3 linked regions of the Bombyx mori genome follow. The protein of the gene in region 1 purifies or fractionates together with the protein of each later gene. This does not show direct contact. Links are inferred from orthologs where the notes say so. Each region holds a gene or a part of one and is shown in the gene's direction. Other genes may lie near its edges.

The links.
Region 2: the proteins of coiled-coil domain-containing protein 97 (region 1) and splicing factor 3B subunit 5 purify together in Homo sapiens (affinity purification with mass spectrometry; 3 studies listed by BioGRID and IntAct, counting the BioPlex papers as one, with this or other methods). This does not show direct contact. The link is inferred for Bombyx mori from reciprocal best matches to the Homo sapiens genes CCDC97 and SF3B5.
Region 3: the proteins of coiled-coil domain-containing protein 97 (region 1) and 14 kDa subunit splicing factor 3b purify together in Homo sapiens (affinity purification with mass spectrometry; 3 studies listed by BioGRID and IntAct, counting the BioPlex papers as one, with this or other methods). This does not show direct contact. The link is inferred for Bombyx mori from reciprocal best matches to the Homo sapiens genes CCDC97 and SF3B6.

The regions. Positions count from the first base shown.
Region 1 is NC_085118.1:10,062,880-10,071,138, forward strand, and holds coiled-coil domain-containing protein 97, read left to right. Parts: upstream 1-4,448; 5' UTR 4,449-4,530; coding exon 4,531-5,574; 3' UTR 5,575-5,643; downstream 5,644-8,259. Other genes in the region: ATP-binding cassette sub-family C member 10, read right to left, coding at 103-340, 425-689, 762-1,011, 1,406-1,564, 1,645-1,762, 1,845-2,456. UniProt on the Homo sapiens protein: May play a role pre-mRNA splicing through the association with the splicing factor SF3B complex which is involved in branch-site recognition.
Region 2 is NC_085126.1:5,962,937-5,970,622, reverse strand, and holds splicing factor 3B subunit 5, read left to right. Parts: upstream 1-3,785; 5' UTR 3,786-3,945; intron 3,946-4,050; 5' UTR 4,051-4,056; coding exon 4,057-4,314; 3' UTR 4,315-4,393; downstream 4,394-7,686. Other genes in the region: uncharacterized protein LOC101736097, read right to left, coding at 378-494, 1,104-1,409, 2,200-2,346. UniProt on the Homo sapiens protein: Component of the 17S U2 SnRNP complex of the spliceosome, a large ribonucleoprotein complex that removes introns from transcribed pre-mRNAs.
Region 3 is NC_085111.1:9,665,903-9,675,455, reverse strand, and holds the start of 14 kDa subunit splicing factor 3b, read left to right. Parts: upstream 1-4,802; 5' UTR 4,803-4,875; coding exon 4,876-4,905; intron 4,906-5,004; coding exon 5,005-5,123; intron 5,124-9,553.

The DNA.
Region 1 (8,259 bases):
AGATTCAGATTATATAAATATATTAATATACAAGAATTGCTCGTTTAAAGGTATAAGATTGTATAAAATATTAAATGATCAATCAAATTGAAATTCACATACCTGATACTCTGTCCACAAAATAATCTTCCCAAACATGAACCTTTACAGTTCTAATTCCTTTTAGCAAATCACTGATCAAACTGACTCTAGTGTCCTTATGCTTCATCAACTCTGTGCTTAATTGCCCAATTTTATTTGCAATAAGTTTGTTTATTGGTATTAGAATAACTGAAAAGCCTACTCCAGCAAGGAAAGATAGTCCCACTTGTTGATACAATAAAAACAGTGTTATAAATAACTGAAATGAAATGAAATAAAATGAAGATTTTTAATTATAAACTAGTTGTCTATCGATTGTAAATACATAATATTTTATAAATACCTGTAATGGTATACTCCATAGAGCATGAAAACTAGGACATGAATTCACAATCCTATCAGTATCAGTAGACATAAAATTTGTTATTTCACCAACAGAGAACGCTTTAGTCAGCTCAGTTGAAGTCACACTTAAGGTTTTCCTTAGAATGGTGGTGACTAGCGCACCACGCATCTTTAGTCCAATTATGGACATTAACCAATTAAATTGGACAATAAATATGGTCGATCCTAATGTTGCTATCAAAAGACTAACTGCAAAAGTATACCTAAAATCATAACATTTTGTAAGTTATTATTTTCGACTCATCTATTTTATGCGTTTTATCTTTTTATCTTACCCAATATGTTCATCAATTGTAGTATCTTCAACAAATTCAACCAACTTATTCAATAAAAGAGGTCCTGCAAAACCTGCCATATCAGATACCAATTTAAGTAAACCAATACTGTAAAACTCTACTGCAAAAACCTTATGCAGTGCTCGTAATAAGGAAACATTTTGTCGTCGTACGGGGTGGACCCGAACTCGTGATGTTGATGTTACAGGTGTTGAGGCTTGTGGCACTGTTTCACCTATAGCTCCATATCCTGTATCATTGAAAGAAACTATTAAGGTATATTTGAGATATAAACTGTTTATTTTATTTATTTTATTGGATAATGTTAATTATATCATTTTACAGTATATTATTTTCTCATAGGCAGCGGCTTGGCTCTGCCCCTGGCATTCCTGATGTCCATGGGCGGCGATAACCGCTCCTCATCACGTGGCCCATTTGCTCGTATGCCTACAAGGGGAACAAAAAATATATATATCAGTATTTCCTTCTGGATTTCTATGAATACATAATTAGAACTGCTTTTAAAATTTAATCTAACATTTCTAATGTGATTATATTATTTCCAGAAAATATTCTAGTTTTGACCTCATCCTTGACCAAAACAATTAACTGCAATATCAATAAAGTTTTTATTTGTGTACCTGTGCTTATAAAAGGTTCATGTGGTATATCAGCATATTGTTGGTGATGATCAACATTTCCAACCAATGCTCGATCCATTCTGGCACCAATATATGAACTACGATATTCTGCTGGTATGTCGAAAAGTTCTTCAGGATCTTTTAGTTTATTCTCCAGACCTTTAGACATATATTTTAAATATGGCATCAAATCCACAAGTATTTTCGTAATTAGACTAAACATTATATGCATATATTACCTTTTTGTAGCAAAGGGTTCACCCAAGTAAACATCAACTTTGAAAAAAAGCTGTTGCCCTGCATAGCTGTACCAAGAACATCATCATCTACATGGGGTATCAGTGGAGTGTACTCGCTCTATTAAAACAGATATTTAAAATACATTTATTTGCCTTGTCAGTACTCTAAATACACAAAACTGATATAAATTTATACTTACATGAGAGTGTTGGGAGCCTACTAAGCATGGCGAGTAAAATGTTGGTCGTGAGTAATTTGAAGGAATCAGAGTTAAAAAATACAGTACGTGACAACATAATGCAGCTGTATTGAAACCTGTTTGTGAACCAGAAATGATGTTGCTACGGAGAGCTATCAGGTTTAAAAGAACTGTACAGCACCATAAAAATAATTGCATTACTGGACCTCGAGAGCTACGCCCAAGACGGTGTTTCAATGCTAAAACATATCCAAAGTGCACCAGCCATGCTAAACAGGATGAACCAGCAGCAAAATAGTCTACTGGATATAGAGTGAAGTCAGGTTTGGTAGTAAATATATATATTTCTATGATCGGTATGAAGGCTAAGCCTAAAACAACAAAACTTCGAAATATTATGGCACGTTCTTGAGTTTTTTCTCGTATCACCCAATCTTTTCGATATCCAACAAAATACCCTGATACTATAGCTATTATAAAGTACACTGGTACTTGTAAGAATAGCTCTTGAAAACACACGCTGAAGTCTTTCGTGGCATCATTCCATGGATGAAGCCCTCCAGGCCCGCACATATCTTCCCATTTCCAATTTATATTCAATATAAAAGACATTCTGGTCTTCTATTATCTCTACGATGTTCCGCAATAAGTCACAAGGGCACTGTTATAAGATTCTACTATTTAATTAGAAAGGGTAAGTATGTTCTTTGTAGATTTATAAATAAAACACAATGAAACACGCAACTAATAACCATTTTTCATGTTTCGTCTTTCTATTGTTGATAATTATTGTATTTCTACTGTACGTATCGTAAGTTATCAGTTTACTGTTTAATTTTTATCTTTTTCCTTTTATTTTGAATAATATTTGTTGATTTGAACAAGCACTAGTTTACTTCTCATTGATTTGATGTTAAAAAGTTCAAAATTAATAAATCATCAAAAATAATCAAAATTCAACAACGATGACACTGATGACATATTAAGTGTATAATCTATGCTGATGACAGTGAAAGCGGAGTAGTTTTTTTAAAGGGATTTTATGACCTCGTAACTAAGACCTTTAAGTCAAGTCTTATTTTAATTTATATTCTTATTTTTATGAAAATGATAACATCGAGTGAAATAAAATGAAATGAAGATTATTAATTTGAGACATTAATCAACTGGGATGAAATTAAATGAAATGAAATGAGATGATATAGGATGAAATATAATCTCAGAAAAGTGGTTGTCATTTACTAACATTTTTTTCAGTGGACTTTATGGAGGATCCCGAGAAGTTATGTCCAGCGGCTTTGTTTCATTTTCCCACATTTGTGCACTTTCACAGATATTAAACAGCTAATAAACCACCGTTATTACACATTTAAACCTGAAGAAACACTAAAAAGACAAAATAAAACAAATCACACAGCTTCACTCCTCGCTTTCCCGCCAAAAAGTCAACATAATAGCAAATAAAAAATAAGACAGATTAGTAAAAACAGACAGTATTATCTAATAGGTTGGGGAAAAAGTATTATCGCATTATAGCATGTATGAATAAGCAGGCAAAGAGCGTGGCTTATACACGCTAGTCTGTCGTAGTTATATTTTTTTTATGTCATTAAAAAGCCGGTGTATCTCTTTTTATTGCTTTTTGGAAGTTTTGACGTCAACTCGATGAATAGCACATTGAGTGAGCGTGAATTTCCGCAGACCTTTTATCTTGAAAAAAAGACAGTTATGTTAGCCACAGTTTTATTCCAATGTCCCAACCATCGTGAACAACGATTATTGACATTTAATACACAAAACAACACCCATTTATATATTATACATCACAATAAACTATTAAAAAAACATTAAAATAAAACTTCAAGTGACGCTTAACTCGGGTTGCTGCCAAAACTCTGATCATTTAAAATAAGAATAGAGTAATGGTAGGCCATTGAGATTTTTACTAATGGAATCATTAACATCTAAAAATATTAAATAATTCATGGTTTTAAGTAATAATTATTATTACAATATATAAATATAGAATTGAACAAAAATAAACTTAAAAGTCTGTGAATTATAACCATTAGCAATTTTTTTTAATTTATTGTTCAAGTCACAGACAACTCTTTCGTTTGGCAGTATATACTTTACTAAAAGGTTTACTATAAGGCTGTATGGGCTAAACCCTTTGCCTATTGACGAATTTAAAAACCATGGCACTTAGTTTTGGGATGTTATCAAATAAGTAATTTATTTTTTTGTAAAACAATGCCAGGGTGAAAGAAATGTTGATACATAAACTAAACAACGTGAAAAAATAAGACATAGTTTTTCAAGTACAAATAGTTTTGACATAAAGTTGGCCCACTTTTGGGCATTGTCCTTTCTATAGTAATGGGATCATGTCTCTACCTACAAGATGGCAAAAAGTTATCGAACAAAATGGTACTTGCATACTTTAGTTAAATGTAAATAAACTATTTTCCTATATTAAAAAATGTTGTGAATTTTCTTACAAAATGCGAAGAAACTTTTCTCCCAACCTATTATGTTACAAATACTAAATAGCTTGTGCTATATATATAATATCTAAGATTTGGCTTTATGGTGTAACACTTTTGCCTTTCCAGTTGGAAAAATAAAACTACAAACTACTACTATTATGCTCTACATAAATAATTATTACTAGAGATTTATTGTTATGACAATGGAAAAAATCAACATTAATTTAAAAAATAAATTCAACGAAAGTGAAGTGAATCCTGTAACTGATATCATTGACTACCTAGTAAGAAGTGCAAATATATCCTTTAAGAATTCCCATGCTAATGAACAACCGGTAAGGACATGTGAGAAACTGCAAATGGCCCTTGAAATTTATAAAAGATCACCTGTAGAATTCCTCATGCAATTCGGAAAATATTTAGCTCCTAATCACATAAAATACTTTGAAAATATCTCTAGCTCCAAAGATCAAACATTTAGGAATTACGTGCACTATTTGAGTGACTATCATTCGGAAACAAGCAGACGCAAGAGGATAAAGAACAGAAGATATAAGGCATTACAAAAAATGAAGATTAAAACTGATTATTTTAGTGAAAAACAAATGATGTACAGAAATCCTCTTTTATATGAACAGTTGGTTGGGCAATATTTAACAGATGAAGAAATAAAAGAAAGAGATCGAATAACTGAAAACGCCAGTTTTCTTAACTTAATATTGGAAACTGTAGATCACAACCACATGAGAGAGGTGAAGAATGTGCAAATGCTCGAAGAAGGTATTCATGAAACACCAGAAGCTTCTGAATTTTCTTTGAATGATAGTACTAATGAAAACATAAATTTTCAACACAAAAGAAAATGGGGTGAATTCACTACCCCAGATACGAAACCTGACTATATTCCAGAAAACAGAAAACACAGAGTTATTAGTGCTCCAGAAAAGAAGTTATTGTATGATGAGTTCCTTCAAGAAATGTATAGCAGCTTTATAGATGGTAATGATATTGACATTGATTATAAAACTATTGATAATGATGAGCAGTATGATGATTTAGAGCAGGAGTCACAAGATGCAGAAGATAAATATTTTGATTCTGAAACAAATGATGTTGAGAACTTAGAAGAACACATGCACCTTGTAGAGGAATATGGTCAAAGTAAAATAAATAATCTTGAAAAAGATGACCCTCTTGATGTGTTTATGGAGCATATATCTAAGAAGTTTCAACTGAATTAAATGATTGTTTACTAATATGAAAAGTTCAATAATATTAAAGTAATTATAATCTTTAGGTTAATTTCCCAACCAATGTCTTTTCTTTTCTCATAAACCATCAACATTATTATCAGTTAAAGTTTCTGTCTAAGTTCAACTAGTAAAAAATGAGATGAGAGATTATTTCATAAGATGCAAAACACTGCTCATCCACACTATTTTCACATACTTTTTTGTTGTGTACCATCCAATTTTGGACTCTTCTGAGCACTATAACATATATTTCTTTAAATGAGGTTTGAAAAGAATCCTCAGCAGTAGGTAGTGACCAAGCGATGTACCTTTGAAGTCACAAGCATTAGAATGAAAAAAATAATTCGCAATAAAAAGTGATAGTATTAAAATACAGAAAAAAATCAGATCGGTCTGTCTTTAATTTTGAATAAAGACTATTTTTTATATTACTTTGTTATTTGTACTGAACAAAAATTTTTATTTTCATTGCAGTAAGCTTAGGTAAGAGTTTTTGGTTGACAGCAACTTGCCTGCGTAAAATAGCAGAAGCACATAGGAATGGCTAGTACTTATGATCAACAAGATAGGTTAGGAATATTTATTGTGTTCATGTGAAGCAGGGCACCTAGTGTTGAGTGGTTACTGGAATCCAAAGATGTTACAACGGGAATGCCACTACCCACCTTTACAATTTCATTGACAATAGTGTGTCATCCACAGAAATGAATTAAATTAACGTGGCTCTGGTAAGTTTGATCTGAATGGCAGATTGGCTCTCTTTTTTTTTGCCTGTAATATTTCCCTCATGAAATAACTTAATTCCAACATTTATGAATCATAGGGCCAAAATCTAAGACATGTGGGCTCCCATATAATGTTATGACACAAGACAGTTTTTTTTAAAACCTCGTATAGTCATATGCTCATCTGTCAATAAGCGCAATAAAAACAATTGTTCGGGCCTAAAGGATAAGAATTTATCATATCATTCAGATATGATAAGATTTTTTTAATGAAATACATATTGACACATATCCACGAATATTTTCCACAATACAAGCAAACTGGCGAAAATTATAATTTGCTTTACTAATAGAGCGTCGATAAGCGTTCCGGCTGGAAGAATGGGACAGTCATTACACAATTTGGTTTTCTTTAGCTTAACACCAGGTGGGCAGTGAGCACTTTCAACCGTTAATCTAAAAAAAGTAGTTAAAAAGTGTATGTATGCAATTTTAAGTATAAAATATATCACTTATTTACTGGTGGTAGGACTTCTTGTGAGCCCGCACGGGTAGGTACCACCGCCCTGCCTGTTTCTGCTGTGAAGCAGTAATGCGTTCCGGTTTGAAGGGTGGAGCAGCCGTTGTAACTATACTGAGACCTTAGAACTTATATCTCAAGGTGGGTGGCGCATATACGTTGTAGTTGTCTATGGGCTCCAGTAACCACTTAACACCAGGTGGGCTGTGAGCTCGTCCAACCTAAGCAATAAAAAAATTATTAGTGATCTCGCGTCAGGTACAGCCAAAATTGCCATCCATTTTTTGTTTCCGGACGTTTCTACATCCTGTTTAAGTCACATTTGATAATTAAAAATAATTTCATGTTAATAATCCGGAGAAGCCTTGATATTGTTCGCTATCTATTTATGCAATTGTTACACAATATTAGTCGTTAAATATAGAAATGTTACATAATATCTTTATTAAATATAGAAATGTTACACAATTAACTACTTTCTTACTATAAACGTATCGAATTAATCGTTTGAAACAAGGTATGCGTTTCACTAACGTCACTTTTCGTTTGCTGTTGGACACTTCCTCTTTCTGGCACGATCGTGGTATGCATACCTACTACGCTTAAAGTGCAAATTTCACATTATACCTACGCGAAATGATTTAGAAATAGCTGAACAATCTAACACTACCTGCTACAAACACTAATACACTATATAGTTCTGTCCCTTAACTGTGTAATGTAGATCATACGGATAGTAATAAGGCGTGACCACCGTTTCATGTTGCATTAACTTAATAAAATATTAAATGAAACAAAACACCAGTCTGCATTAAAAATACTAAAATGCGAACAACATAATAAGACCAATATAAATGCTTTAATATAACTATAACTAAAAAAAGTATTTTCTTCGGTTTTCGAATATAATTTAATGTAGGTACTTTTACACTTTAATCTCGCTTATTTTATTGTCATTATATCATCTTCCGTGACCACGAAAACCTTACAGTATTTGAAAGGTTGGAAATAATATAATGACTATTAATGACACAAAAAAGCCAAGACTAACATTAAAAGTAGCTTTAATTATGTAACTGGAATGTTAATAGAGGTTTTGCCGAAGGGCTTTAAACTCCCCATTAAAAAATGTTTTATCTCTTTTCTTGTCCACGCGTGTATAGTATAGTAACATTCAAGTTATATAATATTAGGGGTTAAAGTATGAAATTTGCCAATTTGTACTGAAAAATTAAAATTGTTTTTTTTTCATTGAACATATTTATTTAATCAAAACATCTACCATTATTATCTATACATTGCTGCCATCTAATAGGAAGGTAATTTATGCCTTTGCGATAGACCTCTGGTAATCTAGATTCTACAAACTGTGTGAAAGCATTTTGTACTGCCTCCTGGGAAGAAAACTTTGTATCACGTCAAAAATTG
Region 2 (7,686 bases), on another chromosome or scaffold:
GCGCGGTCTCGACCCTCTCAGGTCGCCCCGTGGAGGATGCTTTTCAGCGCCCTACGCAATGAAATGAAAAAAAAGATCTAAGGGTACCTATTGTTACGATACCATGAGGTGACATGAACAAATAATCAATTGCCACTTTACTGTCGATGCTGCGTGTATTTCGACGGTGCACTATCGTTATACTAGACAGGATGGCACTGGGGATACATATTTTCAAGCCAAACGATGTTGTTAACCTGGTGTAAATGCTTTAATAAAGTAGAATAGCATTTGGGTTGTAAAAGTATTCTTAATTAACGTAATATTGATAGAAGAGGATAAAATCGAATACTTCAACAACATCCTTAAAACTACATAAGGAAATCAAGCGTACTTACTTTAACATCATCGAGTTTGTTGTTTTTAGCGATCAGCACCTCGAGACGTCGCAGTGGCTTCACCCACGCTACGTCGGTTAATTTATTCTCTGATACATTTAAAACCTTTAGAGAAGCCTACAAAAAAATATGGTAAAATTAAAAACATTAAATTATTTGTGAGTAATGCTCATAATTTTGAGAAATACGTTTCACAAGTAAATTCAAGCCCGAATGATAAATAAAAAATGTTTTTATGATGGTTGCGCGAAAGCTCCCTTGGTCAGTCAATCTTCGATTCATTTCTCTGTTTATTAATTTTTCGTATTTAGAAAAGCCTAAATATGTAGTCGGATCATTGGCATGTACTGCGTGTAAAGAAATACCGTATAACATAAATACCAACTTCTAACCTATACCAAGTCGAAGGGCCGCACAATGTGAGAATCTGTGTATCCAAATCTCTTTATTACTATCTAGGAACAATTTATCAAACTTTTTTCAGGTCGAGCTAAACAGCAAAAACAACGTATGATTTCAAATGTGGCTGACATTTGTTTAAGATGGTTAGTTCTCTATTTTGGCCCCGAATGACGTAATGAATATAAACACGCTAATGAAGATCTCATCAGTCAAGTTTTACATGCATATCGTACGCGGCAATTTAGAAAAATTCAAATCTGTTGAATTTCGTTCCTGCTACCAAGGCTTAAATATTGTTTGTTATTTTATAATTTTAATACATACGCCAATAGATAAAGTAGTCCTCGGATCGAAACACAATCCATCAAATCCTTCTGGATTTTGCTTCTCAACGTGTAGTTCTTCTAAATATTTTAAATTCTCCAAATTCTCAACAACATTAATCCGATTGTTGCCTAAATACAATTTTTTTAATTTATAAAGGCACTGTAAGCCTTCAATTTTGCTTATTCTGTTACATTGTAGATGTAAATGCGTCAGATTGTATAAGAGTTCGATGTTTTCAATTTTTTCAATTTTATTGTTGTGATAATAAGCGTAGATTATGTTACTTGGATGTTTTGGTTCGGGCTAAAAAGTAGGTAATGTTATCGATTTTAACGTGAAATCATTGAAATGAGTATGTACTACAAGTTGAGCTGTTTATTAGTAAATAATATGCCTGTGACACTAGAGGTGTTATATATCAGCTAATTTCTAAAATTTTAGTCACGAAAAAGCATCGTCTCTCAAAGAATATGTTCGGTACTCTGCCCGTCGAATTCGAATGTTGTAGTTTTAATTTTGCAAGGCGAATTTTTTTTCCGAGAATAGATTTTACTTTAAGAACATATGCCGCAAAGAAATTCGAAAAAGAAGAAATAACATGTCATAATAAAATTTGACTCCGAAAAAATAATTAACTTACAAAACTTACTTACTTACTTACTGATGGTAGGACCTCTTGTGAGTCCGCGCGGGTGGGTACCACCACCCTACCTATTTCTGCCGTGAAGCAGTAATGCGTTTCGGTTTGAAGGGTGGGGCAGCCGTTGTAACTATACCTGAGACCTTAGAACTTATATCTCAAGGTGGGTGGCGCATTTACGTCGTGGATGTCTATGGGCTCCAGTAACCACTTAACACCAGATGGGCTGTGAGCTCGTCCACCCATCTAAGCAATAAAAAAATAAAAAAACTTACTCATTGCATGGATTATTCGGTATATTCGAAACCCACATTTGTAGGTATAATCAATCTACCTATTCCTGCCGTGAACAATCAGTCCCAATTATTATTATTGTCTTATTTAATACCTATCACTCATGGCACTATGCACATAAAAACACAAACACAGGGCAGAAAATCAAGAAATACTTACGATATTGGAGATGTTTTTTTCGTGCATGAATAAATGTGTTGGTCTTTTGAAAACATTTGAATATTTTCGCTCTACAATTTGCTTTGCTTGTTTGCGAATATTTTTTTCACTTTCTTTAAGCTCTGTTTCTTTCGGTAATTTGCTCATAACTTGTCAGAAATAACAATAATTCTGAATAGAGAATATTTAAAGGCGAACAGAATTACGAAATGTATATCTTGATAAAAACAACTCTCTCAGTAATGACTGGCTTCTGGTTATTAAGTTTATCAAAAATATTGAATAAACACGGTAGTGTATTTTCTATGGCAACTGGTTTTAAATTGATCAATTAATCAACATAACAACATACCAAAGAGTTTAGAAATACGACGATATCAACGTACCCTAGAGTGTACTTTGTAAGTACTCTAAGTTGATATGTAACTGTGAGCATAGAAAATACACTTAATTAAAATACCTGTGAGCTTAAGATAAGTGGATGAGGAGAACCGCAGACCGGGCTCAGTGGTGTGGATTGGGAGAGGCTTATGTCCAGCAGTGGACGACTGTGGGCTGTTGATGATGATGATGATGATGATGATGAGCTTAAGATTCCATGATAGATGCAGCTGATCTAGCGTGGTTGTAATTATGTATATCTCACGGGTTTTTTTTTATTGCTTTGGTGGGTGGACGAGCTCACAGCCCACCTGGTGTTAAGTGGTTACTGGAGCCCATAGACATCCACAACGTAAATGCGCCACCCACCTTGAGATATAGTAAGTTCTAAGGTCTCAAGTTTAGTTACAACGGCTGCCCCACCCTTCAAACCGAAACGCATTACTGCTTCACGGCAGAAATAGGCAGGGTGGTGGTCCCCACCCGCGCGGACTCACAAGAGGTCCTGCCACCAGTAATTACGCAAAATATAATTTTGCGGGGTTCATTTTTATTACACGATGTTATTCCTTCACCGTGGAAGTCAATCGTGAACATTTGTTTAGTATGTATTTCATTAGAAAAATTGGTACCCTCCTGAGATTCGAACACCGGTGCATCGCTCAACACGAATGCACTGGACGTCCTATCCGTTAGACCACGACGACTTCTATCCTTCCTTTACCTTTTTTTACTTTTTATTTTATCTTTTATTAACCTCTTTGCTTTAATAACTTTGTTGCGTGAGCTGTAGAAGTGTAGTTAATAGTTAATTTTGTTAACTTACTGTTTTTTTGTTTGTTGAAACGTGCTATTAATGAAAAATTGTAACCGTTTAGTATCTCTAAAAGTCCACAAGTATAGGAAAATGTGACAACACAGCTGTACTCAACTGTTTTGGTCAGCATTATCGGCAAACGAGTATCTGTCCCACTTAATAATAAGTGGCGATCGTCTCTGATGAACGTCAACGTCAGAAGCATAGACTAAGACTAATTCCACTGCCGGGGCTCTTCCCAAGCTTCGTTAAAAGATGAAAGCTTATTTCAAAACCAGATGATATGTAAACAGATCTAAGAACTTACTGTGAAAGATGCAGTGAAAGAAATAATAAAAAAAACTGTGCACAACCTTTGGTGTTTAGATTTCAACGTTAAGTATTGTATCTATGGTTTAGATACGCCGTGTCTGCAGTAATCTGCACTGCAATTTATGTATTGTCTATGAATACTCTTTGTTTTGGGCTGCTACGTGATATCAATATTAGCTGAATTAGAATATAAACTTTAGAGTCTATACGATTTCAACAAGCATCTTGCCTTTAAAGTAAGTGTGTATATTTTATTAGAAACGTTTTATTTATTTTATAACCATTTAATTTTACATTAATGACATTACTAACTCGAACTATAACCTTAAAATAATTTACAGAATAAAATGGGTGAAAGATACAACATTCACAGTCAACTTGAACATCTACAGAGCAAATATATAGGCACAGGCCACGCCGACACTACAAAATATGAATGGCTTATGAACCAACATCGCGACTCTTGCTGCAGTTACATGGGTCATCCGGATTTGTTGAGTTACTTTGCGATCGTAGAAAATGAATCTAAAGCGCGCGTAAAATTCAATTTGATGGAACGAATGCTTCAACCATGCGGCCCACCGCCAGAAAAGCCTGAAGATTAAACGCTTCGATTTTAAAAATAGAATTAAGCTAATTTACTTATTATTTGACTTTGAATCCCTTATCATGACATAAATTCGAGCAGTTTGTTTTCATTTCTATAACCTTTAACAAACACAATTAGTCTATTCAAATAGTACCACCAAAAACTCAACTATTATCAATAAAAACTACAAATTTTAATAACAGGTATAGTTTATAGTTTAGAATTGGTTCAATGGTCAAATGTTTGACAATCTTATTTTTATATACAAACTTGTTTCATATTGTTTTATCTCAAAGAAATCAGTTTTGATTTCCATTTAGCCTTATATATATACAGTCAAAATCTGTTATAACGACATCGAAGGGACTGCTCATATTCAGTCGTAAAAACCGATAGTCGTAACAACCGGTAATGTTTAATGTGTATCGTGCAAGTACAAACAAATCGATAGGGAATTATTGGAAAAATATATTTACAAAATACGTGATTTTTCTTCAATATTAATTTGTTTTCTTTTTCTTTGCGACATTTTCAAAGTTTCACGAATAACTCCACAAAGTTTTGGTGCGTTTTATGTATAGATAAGTAATAAACTAACTGAAGAGATATGAAGAAGCGGTCTTTGACTCTACTGCATGCACGTGTTTTGTTTCTAAGAATTAGAAAAGACCCTACACTAAACTAAATCCTATTGTTTTCTTTCCTGATTTTAATAGCCATTGAAGACAAATGTGGATACCTATTCAAATTGTTTACAATATAGCTTAGCCGGTCGTTCTAACAGATCTAATTCTCCAAAATATTAGTTAAATGTGGTCGTTTTATGAGGTATGTCGTTATTACCAATGTCGTAGAAAGCAATATTTTTAATAAGGCGGTCATATGGCATTCAGCCGGGACCTTTGTTCTAGGTTGTTATAACCGGCATGTTGTTCTAAACGATGTCGCAGTAAACGGTTTTGACTGTAGTTTAAATATAAAGTAATTTAAGAGATTCTTTAAATAACCTGGGAGTATTTTAATCATGCATATGCTTATTAAAATATTGAAAGCTTCTTTTTGATATTTTTATTATGTATGTCTAAAATTGTTAAATAGGTTACATTACAATGAACCACCAAAACTGTAAAATTTAGGAAATACATTCATCTTTCAAAGGGGAAGCCAAGTAAAATGCAAATTAGTATTCATTGACCATTTAATAAAGATCTCCATTCGTCCATTTTCTTTTTCAAAATCTCTTCCCGTTTCTTTGTTTCTGCTTCTAAGTGTTTTTTCAATTCAAAATTCTTTACAACATCCACAACTAGAACTCTTTGTATATTCGGAACTATTATTTCACATTCTTTTAATAAAACTTCCATTACTTTTGTGACACACTCAACATCCATAGAACCGATTTGTGTGAAATCTGAAATCTGTTTTAACTGTGATAACACTGACATTGTTATAATTCCGTGGTTTACTTCTGTGCTGTTCTTTGCTATATGTTCTTCTATTTCAGTGGGGTCAATGAACATTTTGTTGCCTATGACTGCTACAGAGCATGATGTGATTATATCAAACATTGGAACGGCGGCATTAGCTAGAGCAAGTCCTGCTGCATTGATAGCAGCTGCTAAACATGACCCGTCATGTTCTAAGATGTATATTAAAACATCAATCTAAAATAGTAAGAAAATGAAGAAATGAATTATTTCATTTTTACAGTCAATCATTATGAGTACATTGGATGGAATATAAATTAATGATGAATTAACAATAATACTTAAAAAAAATTTAACTAGTTAGTAAAAGTAGTCTATATTACAACAGACAAAAATATGAGCTTTGGAGAAACTGTAACAACACTATTCTCTTTCAAAAAACTCTAAATTCATATTTTCAATTATGTTTTAAGTTGTGGCATAAGTTGATGGAATATATTATGTTAAGTGCTTATATTATTGTCCTCAGCTTCTCGAATGGCGGTTGCGACTGGCAGCCCAGTTAGGGAGGTTATTTGATCACACCAATGGTTAGGTAATCGGTCGTGGGGTCTCTTTCCATTTACTCTGCCCGTCACAATCACTTTGTCCAAGTTATATGACTGTCGGTGGGCAATATGACCGAAGTAGCTGAGGATCCTCTTGTAACAAATTGTTGAGAGCCAGACGAGATGGAAACAGCTCACGACACAGGCCACGATCAAGTTTCAGGGACACAATCTTCAGCGACGAAGAAGAAATTATTGTCACTTAACTGTGACTGATCATCAATGAGGTTTTAGTATTTTATTTTTTGAAAGACTAGATAGTATTGTCCTGAAAATTGCAGTCCCTTATTGCTTTGGATATAACGGAATTATTATTTTACCTGATAGTTTGGGAAGAAGTGCCTACAGACAGCCGGTTCAAGAGCCTGCCGTAAAGCAACAGACAAGGCTTTCTCTTCTACATCAGGAACATATGGTCGACGTTTCCTCGGGCATGAAAACGGTGCAAATTTCACTTCACAATATAACTGGCCAAGCTGACTGAAAGTTAAAAATGGAAACAAAAGAATAAAAAAAGATTTATTATATGGCATTAGGATTAGGATTTATTTAAAGCTATTATAGATATAGTATATGGTGGCCCAATGTATTTTTTAAAGCTCATGTTCAATTAGTTTAATCTGTGGGGAAGAAGAATAATTTCATTTAAATGCCTAAATGTAAGCTTTTTATATATATAGCTGAAATATTGTTAAATGAAGTATCTATGTGAAGTTAAGGTGAAAGAACATACATTAGCTCTAATAGAAATTATTTATTTAATTTCTATACATAATTCTACATACCGGAATTCATTTTGATGTGGTATCTCCCTAGGATCAAATACAGAGCATACAACTTTAGTTTTCCTTAACTCCACATATGCTGAACCCTTTGCTTGTGAAACCATGTCAGTTCTGGCAACTAAAAAAAAAAGTAGATTTGATATATTATTATGTGGAAACTGAAAAGTTTACAAAATTATTTGTAAATTTTCACTAAAACGAAAATAAGAAAAGTAGTATTGCTGCAAGCTGCAAGAATGTTTTGGAAATATTCTTGAAAACAAATAATTGATTCGTGAGATAATACATTAATATTCAATATCTTGTAATGGAGCTATTTCCAGTTGTGTTATCAAGAGACCGAAGCTAGCGATGCAAGCGTCCCAAAAAGAAACAACGATTCAATTGTTGAAAAACACTAAACCAAACATGAAACTAACACATACAAAACATACACATGCTGCGAGCTTCATTTAGCTCACGTCCATCTTTTCTTTTCCCGTTTTCATCATACAGATCTTTTAATTGTTCGTCGTATGTTTTCAAGTAGTCTTTAGTATATATTTTATATGATACACTATCTTCTGGA
Region 3 (9,553 bases), on another chromosome or scaffold:
GGGCGGGACGAATCACGGAGGAGGGAGTTGTAGCCGTGTTCATGTACGGCAGCGGTTTCGCCCAGGCCGAGACACTGGGCACCGGCGCCGGAACGAACGCTGGCTTAGCCTGCGACACAGAGGGTGCCGAGGCTTTGATGTCTGGGCCGGAAGCTCGGAGGCGGTTTTGGCGGGCGACGCGGCGATTTATTTTCGGGGCTCGGGGGCATCCGCGGTAATTTGCGGGGTGACCCTGTGTTCGACACAGGACGCAGCTAGGCGGTTCTGTCGCGGTTTTTTGATCGCGAGTGCATAGGGCCGTGGCGTGATCGCCTAAGCACTTGACGCATCGGGGGCGCGCGTGACAGTTACGGGAAGAATGCCCGTATAATTGGCAGTTATGGCACTGGCTAGGTGTGCCTTTCTTGTGTGGGGTTTCGACTGCGATTCCGGAAAGGCTACAGACCGTTCGGATGTTGAATATTTGCTTACCCTCGGGGGTAGGCTGGAGGGCGACGAGAACCATATTATATGGCTCCCTTCCGCGGCCTGTGTGCATGCGGTGTACGGAGTTAATCGGTAGGCCTTGTTCGAGAAGGTCGGCCTTGACGAGCTCGGCATCCAACTCTTTAGGGATGCCACGTATAACGGCACGGAGTTCGCGCTCCTCCTGGAGCGTATATGTGTGGAAACTTATACGCTCCTTACGGAGGTAAGAAGAGAGGGCCCTATGGTCGTCGGATGTTCGAACCTTAATTTGAATGCCGTTCGCGAGGTTACGGGCATTCGTAAAATTAATATTTTTGGCCTTAAGGGCCAGGGAAACTCGTTCCCAAGCTGCCTTCTCTTGAAGGATTACCGGGGGAGGGGTCTGGGCTTTATTTTGTGCCACCGGACGCGGCGACGGAGTGGCACGGGCTGGAGGCGCAACGGGAGTCTGAGGGCGGGGGCGCGACGCGTTCGCGGCTTTGCTAATTTTAGCGGCCGCGGGAGCTCGAGACTCCGCGGCACGCTTCTTACCCTTTTGCACCAGGGTGAATCCATCCGTCGATGAGGCGGGAGCGAGGTCGACCTCCATCTCCGAGTCAGAGTCGGAGGACGAGGAGGCGGGCGCAGGTGACCTACGAGTAGGTGTTTTGGACGGCGCGACGGAGGCCGCGGATGATCGCGCTGCTGGAACGGTGACCACGGCGGACGACGCAGCAGTTTTACTCGCCAGTATAGGCGACGCGGGAACGGCAGGCACGACGGAGGCTGCGGTGCTCGATGCAGAAGCTTTGCACGCAGGTACAGGCGACGCAGGAGCAGCGAGCTCGGTGGAGTCCACGAGAGGGCTCGCAGTGTGATCGGCCTTGAAGGCCTGAAACTCGGAAGTGAGCTTTGGGTAGCGAAGCCGGAGAAACTCCGCAAATACAGCGTCCATGATGTCTACGTGCCCAGGTGGGGCTACCCTGGGTCTTAGAAAACACTCGCCTTGCGGCGAGGCCCCAACTTCTCGGACCTGAGCGGTTCTATTGAACACAGGTGGCGATGCGGCACGATTACTGCAGGACAAAGAAAAATCACAACAAAACGGAAATAACAAAAAGAAACAAAACAATTAAACACTTCCAGGAAGACAGTTTGTGGGCAGATGTACCACGAACACAGAAATAACAAAAGGAAACAAAACAAATAAAAACTTCCAGGAAGAGCACTTAGTCGGCAGATGTGCCACGAACACAGGCCGCGCGAACAATGGCCGGGCTAACAAAAGCCGGGCGAACAAAGGCCGGGCGATCGAGTGGTCGATGAGCACGTCCGCGCGTGACGGGTGCCTCTATCGGAATGGAATTACAGGTGGACCGTATGCTCGTCTATCTACAAAGGCAATAAAAATAAAGGCAAAGAGTAACTGCCTAGTTAAGTGTAGTATACAGTATAATTTTGCAGTTTGCGGCATATAGTACCTATACTATATACCGCGAACTGCGTATGAGTTCTTTAAAATTAAAGTAGCAGTTACTAGATTATTTTTTTGGAATATATTGCGACACTAAAATCGGATAGTTTTAAAAATTAAGGGAATAAACTAAATTATGAAAAAATGCAATGTTGACAAAACAAAATTGCTTGAGATGATCCCCTCGTCACCTTTTTATCATCGCACCTCCCGCCATCGGAGCAGAGTTCATCCATATTATCTGGAACCGCTGCGTTCATCGACAGTGCGTTTCCGGAGGTCTTTCTTGCCACGTACTATACACGTACACGGCTATGGAATGAGCTCTCCTCCACGGTGTTTCCCGAGCGCTATGACATGTCCTTCTTCAAACCAGGCTTGTGGAGAGTATTAAGCGGTAGGCAGGGGCTTGGCTCTGCCCCTGGCATAGCTGAAGTCCATGGGTAACGGTAACCACTCACCATCAGGTGGGCCGTATGCTCGTCTGTCTACAAGGGCAATAAAAAAAAAGAAGAAAATACATAGATCAATTATATTGATAATTGATTTGCCTATAGTAAAAACACTTGTCATAAATACCGCTTTTTCTAAATGGTGTAATACAAAATAAAATAGTTCGACTTAATCTAGTTTTAAAAATTAGAAATTTTGTCATCAGAGCCGAAGACTGGCCGTCGTCTAGTCCCGATCTTAATCCGCTGGATTATGATTTATGGTCAGTTTTAGAGAGTACGGCTTGCTCTAAACGCCATGATAATTTGGAGTCCCTAAAACAATCCGTACGATTGGCAGTGAAAATTTTTCCCATGGAAAGAGTGCGTGCTTCTATTGATAACTGGCCTCAACGTTTAAAGGACTGTATTGCAGCCAATGGAGACCACTTCGAATAAGCTTTTTATACTTTAAATTGTTTTCTATTTATGTATTAAACTAACACACTGTAAAAGTAGTAAATGCAATAGATTTTTTTTTATTTTTAATTGTAACAGTATTTATGGCCAGACTAAGTATATGGGACAGCAACACAATGTTTTGGATAAAAGTAAATAGAAATAACGAAGAAGTTTGAAAGGCAGGTTTTCAGAAATTTGCTAATCATCTATTTAGTATTCGTAAAAGTGTGTATTGTGAAAGTGTATATTCGTGAAACTTGTGCTATAAAGTGGAACAAGTCGATAGACTTGAATTCATGGGTTGTTCCAAAAAGTCCATTGAAATCTTAGTGAATTCCTATAATTTTGCTTAAACGTTATTTAATTTTACGCCTTTTACATCTATTATAATGTAATATGAAATAAATTATACATTATATTCTATTATAATGTATAATGTGAAAATTAAACAAAACCGCTGGACGTAACTTCTCGGGATCCTCCAAAAGTCCACTGAAAAAATCTCAGTAAATGACCACCATTTTACTGAGATTATATTTCACCCCATATCATCTCATTTCATTTAATATCATTTCATTCCATATTAACATTGTTCATAAAAATAAAAAATAAAATTAAAATAAGACATGACTTAAAGGTCTTAGTTACCAGGTCATAAAATCTCTTAATAAAATATAAGTATGACTTTTTGGCGGGAGCGCGAGGAGTAAACTTGTGTGATTTGTTTTATTTTTTCTATTAGTGTTTCTTCAGGCTTACATGCGTAATAAGGGTGGTTTATTTACTGTTTAGTATCTGTGAAAGTGCACAAATGTGGAAAAATCAAATAAAGCCGCTGAAGGTAACTTCTCGGGATCTTCCAAAAAATCCACTGAAAAAGTCTCAGTAAATGACCACCATTTTACTGAGATTATGTAGAGATATACGACAAAGGGAAGATCTTCCACCGAGCGGGTGATATTGATCGGTAGACCGACGGTTCGAATGTTGTTGTTCGGAACTTGTATATATGCGCTTTATCTTGAAAATATCGTAAGCGAGATTCAGGCATCGATCAATTATCTTGCGTTGTATGATGGCTACCCGCCACATCACTCCCCTCCGAGACTGGAGATCGTGTCATATTTAGTTATCGTTGTCCGTGCTGAGATTAGCTTGCAAGTGCCAGTGCTGCTCGAAGTTTGCGGTGAGTCGAAACTGAGCTTGAATGCTGCGTGATTGTCGCCAGTGCTGCTCGAAGTCTGCGGTGAGTCGAGACTGAGCTTGAAAATGCTGCGCGATGAGGCAGTGTAGGTGCGTGCCGTAGGGCCAGGAAGCGTGGTGAGTCGGCTGCGATGGTCCTGTTGAGGCTGCGATGCTGGCTTGCTGTGGGACGACTGTAGATGACTTGCTTTTATCTGCGAGAATGCGGGGATTGTGGTAACCGAAGTTCTTGATGCGCTGATGATGAATGAGAAGGTTGCGATTGTTCCGTCGCAGGTCACCAGTTGTAGGAAGCTTAAACGACGAAAGGAAGATCTTCCACCGAGCGGGTGATATTGCTCGGTAGACCGATCACGTCGGGGTCACCAGTTTGTAGAGATATACGACAAAGGGAAGATCTTCCACCGAGCGGGTGATATTGCTCGGTAGACCGACGGTCCGAATGTTGTTGTTCGGAACTTGTATATATGCGCTTTATCTTGAAAATGTCGTAAGCGAGATTCAGGCATCTGTCAATTATCTTGCGTTGTATGATGGCTACCCGCCACAATTATATTTCATACCTTATCATCTCATCTCGTTCCAGTCCACTTCATTTCATGCCATGTTTCATATTAATCAACTTCATTTCATTTCAGTTCATATTTTCATTTTTCATAAAAAATATGGAATATATATTAAAATAAGACATGACCTAAAGGTCCTTGTTACCAGGTCACAAAAACCTTTAAAAAAATTTATAAACATAGTAGGTAGGTATTTACATTTATGTTTGAGTTTGATAAACATACCTAAAAAATCATACAACTATCTATTTTCATGTTTAACAAACTGTAAAAATAATTCATCCACACCAAAATGGCATTAGCACTTCAAAGAAGAGCAAATGTAAGTATTGAAAAGTTAATTGAAGACAACGCTTTGACAAATGTTTGGTTAGGTAGATCACAGTAAATATTGGAAAGTTACATGTTAAGTATATTTCAGGTACGATTACCTCCAGAAGTCAACAGAATCCTATACATCAGGAACTTGCCCTACAAAATATCCGCTGAAGAAATGTATGATATCTTCGGCAAATATGGCGCAATAAGACAAATAAGAGTGTAAGTTTGTCTTTACTAATTGTTTAACGTAGATCCTACGTAGCTAAATCTGGTGTTCCTAGGTGTTCCTAGGAATTTTAATGTCGTTCATATCAATGCCCAGAGTATTGCGGCTCATTTCCCTGACATGCTTGCAAGTTTTGATTCTAAGAATATCCATGCTATACTTGTTTCAGAGTCTTGGCTTAAGCCATGTCTTCCTTCTACATCTTATACCATTCCTGGTTTTCAACTTTTTAGGAACGATCGTATTAATGGCGGTGGTGGTGGCGTTGCCATTTATATCCGTTCGTATTTTAATTGTGCAGTTGTTAATGTATCGGCACAGCCTACGCCGCCATATGCGGGCGAGCACTTATTTCTTGAAATAGAACTTCAACACACGAAGATGTTACTTGGTGTTTATTATTGTCCTTCGTCAAGTATAGATTTCTTTACTTCTTTTGAAACTCTGCTAGAAAATACAATGCCTTCATATACTCATACCATTATCATGGGTGACTTTAACACATGCCTACTTAAAAACAATTCTCGAACCACTTTATTTCGCTCGATGATCGAATCAGTAAACTTAACTGTTCTACCGTTGAACTCGACTCATCATTTTCCAAACTGTGCTCCTTCACTTCTTGATCTTATTTTCGTTTCTTCTCGTGACCACGTGGCTGACCATGGACAGTGTTCAGCTGACGCTTTCTCATACCATGATCTTATCTTCGTTTCATATAAAGTACGACCTCCCAAAGCAAAATCAAAAACTCTTCTGCTGCGCAGTTTTAATGGTATGGATCTTGAAAGTCTTCGAGAAGATGCTGGCAGCATTGACTGGACTGCTTTGACGTGCTCTACCTCAATCAATGAGAAAGTTGATCAGTTCAATGCCAAGCTAACTGATCTATATGACAAGTACGCACCCTTCCGACCAGTAAGAATTAAACATATGCCAGCGCCGTGGCTTACTGATGAAATTAAAAGTCTATTGACCAGGAAGGCAGCTGCTAAATTAAAATATAAAAAAAAACCAACCTCTGACAATAGTACAAATTATCACCGAATCCGCAATCACTGCAACAGAGTGTGTAGGGATGCACAACGCCAGCATATCCATAGTGCTATCGAAAATGGTGATCCAGCTAGAGTCTGGAAATTTCTTAAATCACTGGGGATTGGAAAATTACAACATGACTTTCATCTATCACATTCGAGTATTGATTTATTAAATCAACATTTCTGTGCGTCATCCCTTTATGACGGGACAATTAAATCTAATACATTAAATCACATTTTATCTCTTCCGATCCCAAATTGTTCTCCATTTGTTTTTAATCACCTAACGGCTTGTGATGTTAAGCGGAGCATATTATCCATAACTTCCAATGCTGTTGGAAGTGACTGTGTGGCCCGTAATATGATCCTTCCTATCCTAGACCAAATCCTTCCCATTATTTGTCATATCCTGAATGAATCATTATCTAGCGGCATCTTTCCAAAGGCTTGGAAAGAAGCACAGATTACACCACTGCCAAAAAAGCCGAATCCTACATCCTTTTCAGAATACCGTCCAATTTCCATTCTACCGTTTCTTTCAAAGGTTTTAGAACGCCTGATTCACAACCAGCTCAGTGAGTTTCTTACGAGAAACGAGCTTTTAAACCCTTATCAGTCCGGCTTTCGTCCTGGCCATAGCACGGTCACAGCCCTGGTGCATATTACGGATGCCATCAGATTTGGCATGGAGAGTGGGAAACTGACGGTGTTGGCATTGCTGGATTTCAGTAATGCTTTTGGCACCGTCGATTTCGACATACTTCTAGCCATCCTTAGCTCCATTAACATATCTCCAACCGTGGTTGATTGGTTTCGCAGTTACCTGTCTGGTCGCCGACAGCGTATTCACTGTGAGAATGCTTATTCTTCATGGTGTGAAACGCACGTAGGTGTACCGCAGGGTGGCGTTTTATCTCCTTTACTCTTTTAAATTTTTATAAATTCTATTTCTTTACAACTTACTTCTTCCTACCACCTGTACGCAGATGATCTACAGATATATACGCAATCTTCTTTACCAGAGCTGACCAACGCGATAAAGATCCTGAACAATGACTTATCGATATTGTCCCGTTGGAGTAAGTCTCATGGATTGAGGGTGAACCCGTCAAAGACACAGGTCATTGTTGTCGGTAGTTCAAGAATGTGTTCGAAAGTTACATGGTCGCAGCTTCCGGCTATTTTATTTGACGGCGCACAAATTCCTATCAGCGATACTGTGAAAAATTTGGGTATCTTAATTGATAAAAACCTTTCATGGAACGCACAAATAAAAGAGGTTAGCCGGAAGGTGTTTGCATCAGCTGGATCGTTGAGACGGTTACGAAATTTTCTTCCAACTGCCACTAAAACTGCGCTTGCACAGTCTTTACTTCTTCCAATTCTTGACTACGCTGATTCCAGCTATCCGGATCTAACCGAAACACAACTTGATAAACTTGAGCGGCTACAAAATTTCTGCATAAGATTCATATTTGGGTTACGGAAATATGATCATATATCTGAATTTCGCACTAAGCTCAAGTGGTTACCAATTCGCCTTCGCCGCAATACTCATGTCCTTTCATTACTATACTGTACTCTCTTTAACCCCCATACCCCTACATATCTCAAAGAACGTTTCGAGTTCCTAGGTGATACGCATAATTTTTCTCTGAGATCATCAGATAACCTGAGACTGAAAATGCCGGTGCATTCATCATCATTCTTTGACAATTCATTCACCGTCCAGGCGGTTCGATTGTGGAATGCTCTGCCGGATGCAGTGAGAAGTGCTCCAACTTTAAACTGTTTTAAAAGAATGGTGAAGGAACACTACATAACTGCTTAGTGCTGTTTGTTGCATCATTATCATTTATAATTTCCATACTGTTGATTTAATAAGTGTGTGTAAATATATTAGTATGTATTGTATGTAAGTATGTATATTGGTATATATTATATTATGTAAACGGTATATATCTGTTTATTATATGTATATATTTTCTATAATAATGTATTGTATATGGTACACCGCACCTGCTATATTTTTTATATTTTACAGAATTTCTGTAAATTAAACGGTTGTCTGGAAGAGATCGCTTTTAGCGATAAGACCGCCTATTGTACATATGTGCTTTTTGACTGTTTGTTTTTTTAAAATGTAAATTGTGTTGGTGTGCAATAAAGTGTATTCTCTCTCTCTCTCTCTCTAAATAAGTCCACTGACGACAGGATATCAAGCGGTTAATGAAGCTCCTCTACTCACAGGGCATTCCTTTAACACCGTAGGTCTTAGGTCAAAGTCCCTGTAGAACTGGAGTAATCTCCTGTGATACTTTTCAAAACATATTTTATGAGTGATTTGATGCAGAAATGGACAGGAAATAGTCGTATATAACCATACAGATGCATAACACAACACACAATAGATTTACGTTGATAGCACTAAAGAAAATTCCCCCATTTGTCGTAGTCGAAGTTTGTCGAGTCGAATACTCAATTCTATTGTATAAAATCAGAATGTATAATTATCTGATGTTTAGATTCAGATACCATTGGTAGTTTCTACTTGTGAGAGCTCACAGCAATAAAGCATATTTATTTTATTTTCTTTTATCACAGTATGTTAATAGTGAATTGTGAAATTTGCTTGTGAGCATAGGCTCTATGTAATTATACTTAGACAAATTGCTAGAATTTTTTTAGTTGTAAACTTGTAAAGCTATGAAAACTCATTTTATGAAATACACTATTATTGAACCCTCTCTATTGATAAAGCACATGATGTACCTTCTATCAAGTGAAACATTCAAATTGGTCTTTGAATACTGCAGACACTTACTACTTTTTGTAAGGAAATACATATTTCATACTTGTTAATGAAATAAATTCAATGATGAAAGAATAACATTTTATATAAAAAGGAAACCTGCAAAATTTATAAATATTCATAATTACTGGTGGAATTGTAAGCCTTAACAGGCAGAAAGCATCCTGCATATTTTTCTGAACAGATTGTACTTTGAATGGTAAAATTGCTAGTTTTAACAACTAACTTTTCAAGCTTATGTCTGGTGTGTAGCAGCATTCAGATTGTTGACTTTGGGCTGTGTTAACCATTTTCCACCAGGTGGATTCTGAGCTCATTTTAAAATCTAAGCAATAGATAATGAGATTTAAAATATTTAGTTGTGAAAGACTGGAACTCTTTTATCAATAATTTCTATTAAATGACCAAAAATATCATAGTAAAATTTGTCTGGCTATTTAAATTAAGAATAAGTAAGTCATAGTAATGAAGTGTGATTATGTTAATTAATGATATGATTTCTTTCTACTTGTTTGGTGTAGTACTTGTGGTACTTTCTACTACCTTATTTGGTGTATGTGTGTCAAATTTG